3 linked regions of the Macaca fascicularis genome follow. The protein of the gene in region 1 purifies or fractionates together with the protein of each later gene. This does not show direct contact. Links are inferred from orthologs where the notes say so. Each region holds a gene or a part of one and is shown in the gene's direction. Other genes may lie near its edges.

What was found. The genes of interacting proteins can lie anywhere in the genome.
Region 2: the proteins of SMARCA4 (region 1) and CTNNB1 purify together in Homo sapiens (affinity purification with western blotting; 3 studies listed by BioGRID and IntAct, with this or other methods). This does not show direct contact. The link is inferred for Macaca fascicularis from reciprocal best matches to the Homo sapiens genes SMARCA4 and CTNNB1.
Region 3: the proteins of SMARCA4 (region 1) and HSF1 purify together in Homo sapiens (affinity purification with western blotting; 3 studies listed by BioGRID). This does not show direct contact. The link is inferred for Macaca fascicularis from reciprocal best matches to the Homo sapiens genes SMARCA4 and HSF1.

Annotation. Positions count from the first base shown.
Region 1 is NC_088393.1:11,592,320-11,596,169, forward strand, and holds part of SMARCA4 (transcription activator BRG1), read left to right. Parts: coding exon 1-194; intron 195-1,754; coding exon 1,755-1,868; intron 1,869-2,570; coding exon 2,571-2,678; intron 2,679-3,649; coding exon 3,650-3,736; intron 3,737-3,850. UniProt on the Homo sapiens protein: ATPase involved in transcriptional activation and repression of select genes by chromatin remodeling (alteration of DNA-nucleosome topology).
Region 2 is NC_088376.1:104,083,548-104,087,355, forward strand, and holds the end of CTNNB1 (catenin beta-1), read left to right. Parts: intron 1-799; coding exon 800-860; intron 861-1,916; coding exon 1,917-2,125; 3' UTR 2,126-3,224; downstream 3,225-3,808. UniProt on the Homo sapiens protein: Key downstream component of the canonical Wnt signaling pathway.
Region 3 is NC_088382.1:153,991,531-153,995,380, forward strand, and holds part of HSF1 (heat shock factor protein 1), read left to right. Parts: intron 1-1,695; coding exon 1,696-1,822; intron 1,823-2,233; coding exon 2,234-2,370; intron 2,371-2,550; coding exon 2,551-2,675; intron 2,676-3,801; coding exon 3,802-3,850. UniProt on the Homo sapiens protein: Functions as a stress-inducible and DNA-binding transcription factor that plays a central role in the transcriptional activation of the heat shock response (HSR), leading to the expression of a large class of molecular chaperones, heat shock proteins (HSPs), that protect cells from cellular insult damage.

The DNA of each region.
Region 1 (3,850 bases):
ACCACTGCAAGCTGACGCAGGTGCTCAACACGCACTACGTGGCGCCCCGCCGCCTGCTGCTGACAGGCACGCCACTGCAGAACAAGCTTCCCGAGCTCTGGGCGCTGCTCAACTTCCTGCTGCCCACCATCTTCAAGAGCTGCAGCACCTTCGAGCAGTGGTTCAACGCGCCCTTCGCCATGACTGGGGAAAAGGTGGGTTTATCCAGTTGTGCCCATGCTGACGGTTCCAGGTGCGGCTGGTTCTTTCTGCTGGCTGGAGCGTGTCCAGCGCCTGCTACAGCTGGCTAGGCCTGTGCTGGGTGCCTGGCGAGATTCCGCATCTGCATGGAGCCAGGGGAGCCCTGGAACCCAAGGCTGGGGCAGCCATAAGGGCCCCAGGGGAGCAGGGCAGAGGTCATGATGGTGAATCTCGGAATGCTCGGGGCGTGTCTGACTCTATGCTCCAGGTGTAGAAGGAATGGTGAGGAAGATGGCCCTGAGGCAGCTGTGGAACCGCAAGTGTGTGGAGAGCACCGCTAGAGTCTGCAGCGTGCTGTAGGCCCCTTTAGGTGCCCTCAGAACTCACCCTCAGGGCAGTGGGAAGGAAGCTTGGAAGATTCCAGTTAACGAGGCCGCATGGTCCGGTTCTGTCTTATGTTGTTTTCGAAAAGCGCAGTGGCCAGTGTGTCTCAGTGTCTGGGTGACAACATCAGCCAGGCTGTGGCATGGCGGCATCATCATGGATGAGTAGCCCCACACCAGCACTGGTCCCTGAGCCTAGAGCCCCCCTTGCTGTTGGAGGTTGAAACTGTGGGACGGGCTGTGTTTCTTTCTGAGGGGTTTAGCCAGATGCTGAAGTGTGGGTAGAACTACAGAGGTTACCTCGAAGTGCCCTGCCCACCCCCTTTTTCCCACCTTAGACAGGTCCAGGGCAGCTGGGGCCTTCCTGGTGTCGTCCATGAGTTCCCTGCCCTCTCGGCTGCTGGTCAAGGCTGTGACTCTTCTGACAGAGAAACTGAGGCATTCCCCAAAGCCTCATGATAAAGGGGTCCCCAATTTTTAGATTCCCAGGCCCCCCACACCAAGAGCCAGGATCTGATGCCGTAGTTTCGGCGCTTTCTGAGCCGAGCAAAAGCTCTGCCAAAGGATTGCTTGGGAAGCAATAGAAGAAAAGTTCTGGCTTCATCTTATTTTCCTTTAACTTTTTAATTAAATCATTTTAAAAGTTAGTTCTTAGTAGAGGAGTAGGCGCCGTGGGAGGTCAGGGTTTCTTTCACCTAGTTCCACCCAGGCTGAATGAGAGCCCTCCCTGAGAATCACTCTGTGTAAGCCCCACGTGGTCAGGCTGGCCCCTGCAGCGCTGCTGGCGTGAGCTTGGTGTGTGGTGGGTCTGTGGGCACTCCAGTCTGTGTTACTCGTGGAGAGCAGCATGCCCGCTGCCGGGGTCTTTCTGGTGAGGCACAGGGAGCAGGGTGAGACGCTTCCCAACTGGATGGGGTGAGCAGATGGTCCACACAGAGGTTTGTGCTCTGGGTACTGCGGCTCCATGTCCCAGGAATTACACGGAGGGAACCAGATCCTTACAGTTTCCTAAAGAAGAGGGTGCCCTGCTGGGCCCCCAGAAAGCATAAAGCGGTCTGAAAAGCCACATGCCAAGGGCAGAGTCACCCCAGGGGACCCCATACCCCCGTCTCCACATCTGCACCTTCTAGTGAGACCTCCGTTGCCCTCCTTTGGAGGTAATGCTTGCTTCTCGTGTCTTGGTGGGGCCAGGTGGACCTGAATGAGGAGGAAACCATTCTCATCATCCGGCGTCTCCACAAAGTGCTGCGGCCCTTCTTGCTCCGACGACTCAAGAAGGAAGTCGAGGCCCAGTTGCCTGAAAAGGTGACGGAGTTTTGACGGGAGCCACTGGTGAAGCAGCCTCATGTGGGGGCTTTCCCCAGGGCTGGGCGTGCTCAGGGTCTCTCCCCACAGTCCCGGGCCTGCCCTGGTCAATCCAGCTTGGGGGCGGCGATGACGCCACTGGGTCTGTCATGCTCTATGCTGCTGTTCTGCCGTAGGGATTAAAAAGCACTCATAGACTCACATAGCTCACAATAGGTTAGAGCACAAAATCCCACTTCCTGTCGGGGGCCAGGTGCCTGTGCAGGCTCTCCTGGCCACATCAGGAGGGGCCGTGGGCTTGGGGTCGCCCCCTGGCCCCCAGTCATGGCTCTGGGTTTTCAAGGCCTGCAGCAGCCACACCCCCGGACCCAGTTCCCACAGCAAGACCCGCAAACTCGGGGTCCCCAGCCACAGTTGCCCCTCTTGCTCTTTGTTTCCTGGCTGGCTGTGGAGAGGCCCCCAGGAGATGGCTGAGGGGCCCTTTCTGGCCCAGTATCCCCCGGGTATCTCTGTGTGCTACTTCCTCTCTTTGCGCAGGTCTCCCCTCTTCTCTCCAGCTGTGCGGGACTCCTCACCCACACCCCAGTGTGCCCTGGTCAGAGCTCATATGACAGGGCCGGGGAGGTCAGAGCTCGGTTTGGGTGGTGGGAGTCGGGCCTCAAGCCACCTTGGGCCCTCGTGAGCTTCGTGTGCCCCCTGCAGGTGGAGTATGTCATCAAGTGCGACATGTCTGCGCTGCAGCGAGTGCTCTACCGCCACATGCAGGCCAAGGGCGTGCTGCTGACTGACGGCTCCGAGAAGGACAAGAAGGTGGGCCCCGGAGTCCCCCAGCTGCATTCCCCACTGGGTGTCAAAGGCGGGCAGTGTGGCAGGCAGGGCAGAGCACGCTCTGACCATCGGGTCATGATCTGGTCCTGATCCCCAGGGCGTCTGGCCAGCCCTGGTTATGATGGCTGGTGGCTTGTGTCAGGACACACTGACTCAGTTGCCAGTGGCTTCCCCTTTGCTTATGAAACACTGACTCCTTCTGCAATTGGCAGCCTGGGCCCAGCACTAACCCTAGCAGGGTTAGAGTGTTCTAGAATGCCCCCCTTCTCTCTCTTATTAAGTGAAAGGGAGGGAGCGGGCTGTCTCCTTCAGGGGTTGCTCTTGAGAATCCTGGGCCCCAGGACCCACCTGCCTGGCTCTGCTCAGCAGGAGTGAAATTGTCCTCCCAGAGAATACACCAGACCCCTTGCCTCTGACCCCAAGGCCTTGACTTCGGCCTGGCTTCCCCCAGACGTTGTGTCTGTGCCCCTCCTCCCCTGAGCTGAACAGCAGTGTGTTCCCTAGTCCATTCCCAGCCCAGAGCACGCACCCCCCGCCCCTGCCCCCACCTCCTTCCTCATCCTGGAGCCCAGGGAGCCTCCTGAGTCATGGCTCACCCAGCTGAGACCCTCTAGGGAATCCAACAGTAACAGTGCCCAGAACAAAGGTGGCATCACAAAGCGTCGGGGACTCTGCCTCAGCCCTTTGCCAGTCTTGTTTCTGTCCCGTCGTGCTGGCCCTGTCCCCGCCATCTGTCCTCTGCTGTACCAGGCAGTCGTGTGTTTCCCAGGGCTTGTTGGGGGCCTCCAGGCCTCCAGCCTGCCATCTCCTCCCAATTGCTGTGCCTAAAGCCACTCCTCCCCACTAGAGTATCCCCACGGCCCTTCTCCCAGCAGCCACCCATCCACCAAGCCCACCCCACCCCGCCCCAGGAGGGCAAGACCCCATTTGGGACCCTCTCATCTGCCTCCCAGGGCAAAGGCGGCACCAAGACCCTGATGAACACCATCATGCAGCTGCGGAAGATCTGCAACCACCCCTACATGTTCCAGCACATCGAGGTGAGCCCGCCGCGGCCCGGACGGCTCAGGGCCTGCCGTCCACTGAGCTCTTAGGCAGAGCTGGCTTGCTTCTCCTCGACAACTCTTTAAAAATAGATTCGAATATTTTCATTA
Region 2 (3,808 bases), on another chromosome or scaffold:
TGAGCGAATGGAAAGAGAGATTATTAGGTTTAAAACGATGCAGCTCTTGAGGCCAGGAGTTCAAGATCAGCCTGGGCAACATAGTGAAACCCCATCTCTACAAAAAAATTTAAAAATTAGCTGGGCATGGGGATGGATGCCTATAGTCCTAGCTACTGGGGAGGCTGGGACAGGAGGATTGCTTGAACCCAGGAGTTAACAGACTGCACTCAGCAACAGAGCCAGACTCCAACTCAAAAAAAAATAAATAAATAAAGGAGAGCAAATTACCAGTGAGTGGTGTGTTACTTGGGTTTTTAATAGGCATCTTATTAACATGTTCCAACTTGAGCCCTTAACTTTCTCCACCTACCCCCTTCCACAAACCTGTTTTGACTGTCTTCTCTGTCTTGATGTCAGCTTTGTCTGTCCAGCTGCTCAGGCTAAAACTTTTCTTTCATACAACACATCCTGTCAGCAGCTCCTGTTTGGGGGTAGGCATTTTGCCTGTTTTTTTTTTTTAACTGCTATATCTCTAGCACGTAGAACAGTGCCTGGCAGCACATAGTTGGTGCTTAATATGTATTTGTTGAAAGATCAAGTCAGTGAGTATTTTTAATGTGAGGTGCAAAGAGAAAAAAAATGTATCTTTGAGGGGTGGAGTTTTGAAGAACTTCCATTTTCTAAGTATTTGTGTAATGTTGGAGTTACTTGTTTCCTTTGTAATCTGAAAGTATGCTTTAAAAAAATTAGTGTACTTTTAAGTTGAGAATTTTCATTTTGCTTTTTATTCTTTCTTGCCTTGTGCCTGTTTATCTAGACTGCGGATCTTGGACTTGATATTGGTGCCCAGGGAGAACCCCTTGGATATCGCCAGGATGGTATGCGTCTCATATTTCTCGATTAACTCCAGATCAAGCTAAAGTTCTAAAACTTGATCAGAAGAGCTGGTTTGCTCATCTGGGAAACTAGTGTTGGCAGAAAAGTAATGGCTTCAATTAAAAGCAGTTCTTAAATTCCAGTCAGCAACAGTATCTTTAACGGAGCACAGGGAATTCAGAGCCACACAATGAATAGCAGTAGGATTACACCACCAACAAATACATGCTACTACTAGGCCTCTGCAGTGTAGGATGTTACCGTTTACCTGGCTTTTTATTCTCTTTTTGGCCAGAGGACTCATAATACCTTTTGTCTACAAGCTACCCAAGGAAGACAGGAAAACTCCTGTCTCTAGGCTCAGATCTGGGGTGGGTTTTTACATAGTTGCATTATCAGGGTTTTCTTGAAAAGCGAATTCACATCTGGGTAATGAACATAGAGGATGGGGTAGACCAGTAACAATTACAACTGTCTTACATTTATAACCTCATCTGCTTCTACCTAATTATGAAACCACTAAAGCGCAGATTCTTACTGTGACAAATAACATGTCAACCCTAAGATAAAATATGTTGAGGTTTCATTGAAATAGTGCCTTAACTTTCCTTAGTACTTTTGTTGGTGTCACTTGGACTTTTTGTCAAGATAGATTACACCTGCCAGACCTCATTATTGTCTTAATCCTCCTTCCCATGAGTTCTCATTGCCTAGGTGGTCACACAGTAGATTCCTGCTTCTCCTTCTTGGGAACCCCAAGTCTGACAGGGGTAAATGCAGTGTGTTCAGGGTTACACTAATGATGTGACTAGGCCCTGCTGGTGTGCCTCTCTGATGGAAACAGACGTTATTTGTGTAGTCTCATGGGTGGTCTGGCACTGAGTAATTACTTGGCTAAAGAAAGCTAGAAGTTGAAGAGGCTAGAAAGCATTGTTTTCTGACAAGTTTGCTGCTGAACTTTGGATGCCCTAACCTCAGTGTTAATGTCTATGTCTGTTTCTCTCCTGTCTCTTTTGCCTTCCTTCTTGCCTATTTTGTTCATACCCTGACTCTTCTAGATCCTAGCTATCGTTCTTTTCACTCTGGTGGATATGGCCAGGATGCCTTGGGTATGGACCCCATGATGGAACATGAGATGGGTGGCCACCACCCTGGTGCTGACTATCCAGTTGATGGGCTGCCAGATCTGGGACATGCCCAGGACCTCATGGATGGGCTGCCTCCAGGTGATAGCAATCAGCTGGCCTGGTTTGATACTGACCTGTAAATCATCCTTTAGGTAAGAAGTTTTAAAAAGCCAGTTTGGGTAAAATACTTTTACTCTGCCTACAGAATTTCAGAAAGACTTGGTTGGTAGGGTGGGAGTGATTTAGGCTATTTGTAAATCTGCCACAAAAACAGGTATATACTTTGAAAGGAGATGTCTTGGAACATCGGAATGTTCTCAGATTTCTGGTTGTTATGTGATCATGTGTGGAAGTTATTAACTTTAATGTTTTTTGCCACAGCTTTTGCAACTTAATACTCAAATGAGTAACATTTGCTGTTTTAAACATTAATAGCAGCCTTTCTCTCTTTATACAGCTGTATTGTCTGAACTTGCATTGTGATTGGCCTGTAGAGTTGCTGAGAGGGCTCGAGGGGTGGGCTGGTATCTCAGAAAGTGCCTGACACACTAACCAAGCTGAGTTTCCTATGGGAACAATTGAAGTAAACTTTTTGTTCTGGTCCTTTTTGGTCGAGGAGTAACAATACAAATGGATTTTGGGAGTGACTCAAGAAGTGAAGAATGCACAAGAATGGATCACAAGATGGAATTTATCAAACCCTAGCCTTGCTTGTTAAATTTTTTTTTTTTTTTAATATCTGTAATGGTACTGACTTTGCTTGCTTTGAAGTAGCTCTTTAATTTTTTTTTTTTTTTTTTTTTTGCAGTAACTGTTAGTTTAAGTCTCTCGTAGTGTTAAGTTATAGTGAATACTGCTACAGCAATTTCTAATTTTTAAGAATTGAGTAATGGTGTAGAACACTAATTCATAATCACTCTAATAATTGTAATCTGAATAAAGTGTAACATTGTGTAGCCTTTTTGTATAAAATAGACAAATAGAAAATGGTCCAATTAGTTTCCTTTTTAATATGCTTAAAATAAGCAGGTGGATCTATTTCATGTTTTTGATCAAAAACTTTATTTGGGATATGTATGGGTAGGGTAAATCAGTAAGAGGTGTTATTTGGAACCTTGTTTTGGACAGTTTACCAGTTGCCTTTTATCCCAAAGTTGTTGTAACCTGCTGTGATACAATGCTTCAAGAGAAAATGCGGTTATAAAAAATGGTTCAGAATTAAACTTTTAATTCATTCGATTGTGTCACTCTTTTTTTTTCTTGTCATTAAATGGTGAGGGTGGTAAGTTTATCCAACTCAACTTTATACTGAGGAAGATACATAGTGAAGTAATTTGTTATAGCGATAGAGAGGCCCTTCTCTAGATGCAATTTGCCAAGTTTCTTCAGCATTTGGCCCTGGGTTACATTGCACCCCCAAAAACGTGTTTCAGCCTTGCACATTGTGATTAGTTCTGGGCTTTTGTGGGAGAAAGCCAAGCAGACTGTCTATCATCTATCTCTCTCTACCCCAATCTCCCCGATGGTTTGATTCCATTAAGGTAATGAAATATTAACTACCTGGATTTGGATTTGAATCACCTTCACACAAGTGTGACTCATTGGGAGAGGGGAATTCCTTCAACTCTACTTTGAACTAATAATTAAATAGGTTTAAGTGATGATGTTTATCTGAACATAATCAGAACCAGAATGAGCCTTCCACACTATCTGCCAGATGATCCTATCAGTCATCCTGGTGGTAGGTCTTACAAGCTTAGTTCATCTCTTCAGGTAGACCTGTTAAGACTTGTTTTGGTCTTCTTATAAAAAGTGAAAGTGTT
Region 3 (3,850 bases), on another chromosome or scaffold:
TCTAAATGTTTCAACAAACACACCTAGGCGAACAGCTTTTTTATTCAGGAGAGCTTCAAGTCAAATCAGAGACAGCCTTGTGCGTGGACTCCTAGGCAGATGCTGCCAGGCCTCTGGGAATGGGGCCTGGGAGGAGCCCAAGCCCTGGCCCGCCCCGCAGCAGCTGCCAGGACACTGGTTCCCACGAGGACTGCAGCTGTCGGTCTTCAGGGCTGCGGATGGAGTGGGAATAGGGCACGTTAAAATGCCGCAAAGCCTGGCCGGGCACGGCGGCTCACGTCTGTAATCCCAGCACCGCAGGAGGCCGAGGTGGGCGAATCACTTGAGGTCAGGAATTCAAGACCAGCCTGGGCAACATGGTGAAACCCCATCTGTACTAAAAATACAGAAATTAGCCGGGCATGGTGGCGCCTGTAGTCAACTACTTGGGAGGCTGAGGCACGAGAATCACTTGAACTTGGGAGGCGGAGGCTGCAGTGAGCCGTGTTCATACCAGTGCACTCCAGCCTGGGCAACAGAGCAAGACCCTGTCTCAGAGAAAAAAAAAAAAGTTCACACAGCCCACCGTTCTTACTAAGATTCAGCTGTTTTTCTGGAATAATTGCTCCCCGTGCTACTGTAATTCTTTGGTTAATTTTCAGAGTTCTGGAAAGTTGGCTTGGTGTTTTTCACCCTCTCTCTCCTGCTGCCTTGGGTCCTTTCCGTGATTGGTTCCCTCCCTAATGCATGCACATCCTTGTTTATTTCGCGTCTCTCTATATTGGAAAGCGGTTCTCCACTTCTAGTGCCATACCATGGGGGTTTTTCTGGCTTTTTTCCCTGTTTGCATCTGCAGCTCCCTTCCCTGGCAGGATAAATCTGCCCCACTGCCCTTCCCGTTTCTTCACTGGGTCAGCCGCCCCTTCCTGTGCAGACACCCCTCACCTCTCTCTGGCCCTGCTTCAGGCCCCCATTCCCTGCCGTGTGGGCTTCTCGCTGTCCCCTAAGCCTTCAGTGCCCCCTCTGAGCCACTGTGGCCACGGCCAGCAGGGATGCCTCCCTCGCCAGCTCCTCCTGATAGCTCTGGGCCTGAGCTTGGGAGAGAAATGGAAGAGGAAGAATATATGCAGTGTTTGACTGTCTCTGTTTCTCGTCTCACGTCACAAAACAAGAATGAGTTTGGATTTCTGAACGCAAATGTGTTTTCCTCTGGAGTAATGAAATCAGGGCTCAATTTCCTTTGCTGTTCCTAAGGGAAATGTCCTGCTTAAACACCCATCCCGTGGGCATGGGCCAGAGTGCATCGGGTGCTTTGTGAGTGGAAACGTGGCCTTCTCTAGAACCCCTGGGTAAAGCTAAACCCCGTCCCGTGGGCGTGGCCAGAGTGCGGCAGGTGCTTTGTGAGTGGAAACGTGGCCTTCTCTAGAACCCCTGGGGAGGGGCTTCCTGGCTGTGAGGAAGGCCCCGCATCTGCCCACCGCCCAGTCCTGGGCCTCACAGTGAGGATGCAGGTCACGCTGCACAGATGAGCCCCGTGTGGCAGGTGGTCCCAGGAACGAACTCGCCTCCCCCCAGCCCCCTGGGCCTCCCATGGCCCCAGCCCCATCAGGTGGAACGTGCACTGCCTGCGCTCCAGAAGGGGTGGCCTGGGGAAGGGTGGTTTGGGCGCGCTGCCTCTTGCCACCACGCGTGACCCACCGTGTGTCTCCCTTTCAGAGTGGGAACAGCTTCCATGTGTTCGACCAGGGCCAGTTTGCCAAGGAGGTGCTGCCCAAGTATTTCAAGCACAACAACATGGCCAGCTTCGTGCGGCAGCTCAACATGTGTGAGTGCCGCCTCCGAGGTGCGGGAGGCGGACCTGCAGACGGTGGGACCCCAGCAGGAGGACCCTGTGGATGAAGGACGGAGCCCCCTGTGCTGGCCAAGGGCATGCCATGGAACCCAGCAAGCCTGGGGGCCGGGGGCAGCTGCCTCTTCCAAGGGGGAGGGTCCTCGTGGGTATGAACCTGGGGTCCCCAGGGAAGGACCGTGAAGCCCGAGCTGTACTCCATGTGTATCGGGCGTGGGGAGCCCTGTGGGGACACAGGGTCTCACTTAGACCAAGACCACCCGGCCACCAGGCGTGGGCTCTGAGGGGCAGGGTGGGGTCTGACCGTGGCCAAGCTCCGCAGCAGCCTCCCAGGGCAGTGGCCGCTCTTTGAGGGGTCTTGGTCCCACCCTGAAGCAGAGCCGCCCCCTTCCCTGCTATGTGCAGATGGTTTCCGGAAAGTGGTCCACATCGAGCAGGGTGGCCTGGTCAAGCCAGAGAGAGACGACACGGAGTTCCAGCACCCGTGCTTCCTGCGCGGCCAGGAGCAGCTCCTTGAGAACATCAAGAGGAAAGTGACCAGTGTGAGTGCCGGCCCCGCACCCTCGCCCAGTCTCGCCTGCCATGGCTCTCCCCGCCTGGCCCTCCCTGAGAGCTCCCACCCCAGCCTGCCTGCTTCCTGAGGGACCTGCTGCAGTGTACGAGCCTGAGCCTGCCAAGCTCCCAGGCCGATTCAGTGACCCCTGTCCCTCTCGGGGATCCAGGTGTCCACCCTGAAGAGTGAAGACATAAAGATCCGTCAGGACAGTGTCACCAAGCTGCTGACGGACGTGCAGCTGATGAAGGGGAAGCAGGAGTGCATGGACTCCAAGCTCCTGGCCATGAAGCAGTAGGTCCCACACCAGCACTGTGGGCTGCAGCGGGTGCTGTGGGGGCAGGGCCCTGTCCAGGGCTCCAGGTGCTCAGCCCCACCTCCTGCTCCACCCAGATCTATTGGGCCTCTGCCCCAGCCCCGCCGCCCATGGCTGCTGGGACCAGCCATTCTCCACGTGCAGAAGGGGGTCCAGAGGGTCCCTGTTCTGCACGTCCCCAGCGCTCTCTGGGCCATCCTGGCCTCCCGGGGTATTGGCTTCTGCCTGGGCTCCGAGCTTGGCGGGACCTACCAGCCTACTTTTGAGGACAAGCCCTGCACAGCAGACCCATCCCACCCGCCTCGGGCCTGGGGTCAGACGCATCTCAGGCCCTTCCTGGAACCTCTGCCCCACATGTGCCTGGGCCTATGGAGCTAGCCCCCCAGCCCCTCCTCACCAGGACCCTGCGGCTCTGGGGAAACCTTAGCAGGGGCCTGACACATGGTGGCACCTGAGAAACTGAGGCAAGCCCACCTCAGAAGGCTGGCTCAGGTCTCGCATCCACTTTGGGGCTCCAGGCATGCGGGAACCCCAACCCCAGTTGGCCCCAAGAAGACTCACAGGCTTGGCGGGGCTCAGCCTCCCAGAGCAGCAGGAGCGCGCTCACGGCCCTGCTCAACTGGCTGGGGACAGCTCTCCCCCACCCCGTGGGGCCACCTCTGAGCCACTTCCAGGCCTGGCCCTGAGCACCTGCGGGACCCGGGACAGCCGGTGTCGCACCTGAAGAACGTCCTCCCTCAACCTGGCTTCTCAGGCCTCAGAAGGGCGGCTCAAGGGTCTGCTCCTAGCCTGTGTCCAAGGCAGCCCTCCAGGTGTTGGCCAGGATGGATGCCAGGATCTGGGTGCACCTGGATCCTGGTGTTCCCGTCCCCAACACCCTACCTGACACCAGGTGTTCCTGTCAGGGAGGGGGCAGTGGGACCAGCAAGCCCTGGCCCTGGCCCCCAGCCCTCCACACAGCAGTTCTCATCCTGGGGTGGGCCAGGCCAGACATGGTCATACTTAGCCCTGCTCCTGCCTGGTGGACGGGGAGGGTCTGTGGGGCTCCCTCAGCCCTGGGGCTCCTGGGATCGGGCCCCACTGACCCAGCCTGGTCTGTTGCAGTGAGAATGAGGCTCTGTGGCGGGAGGTGGCCAGCCTTCGGCAGAAGCAT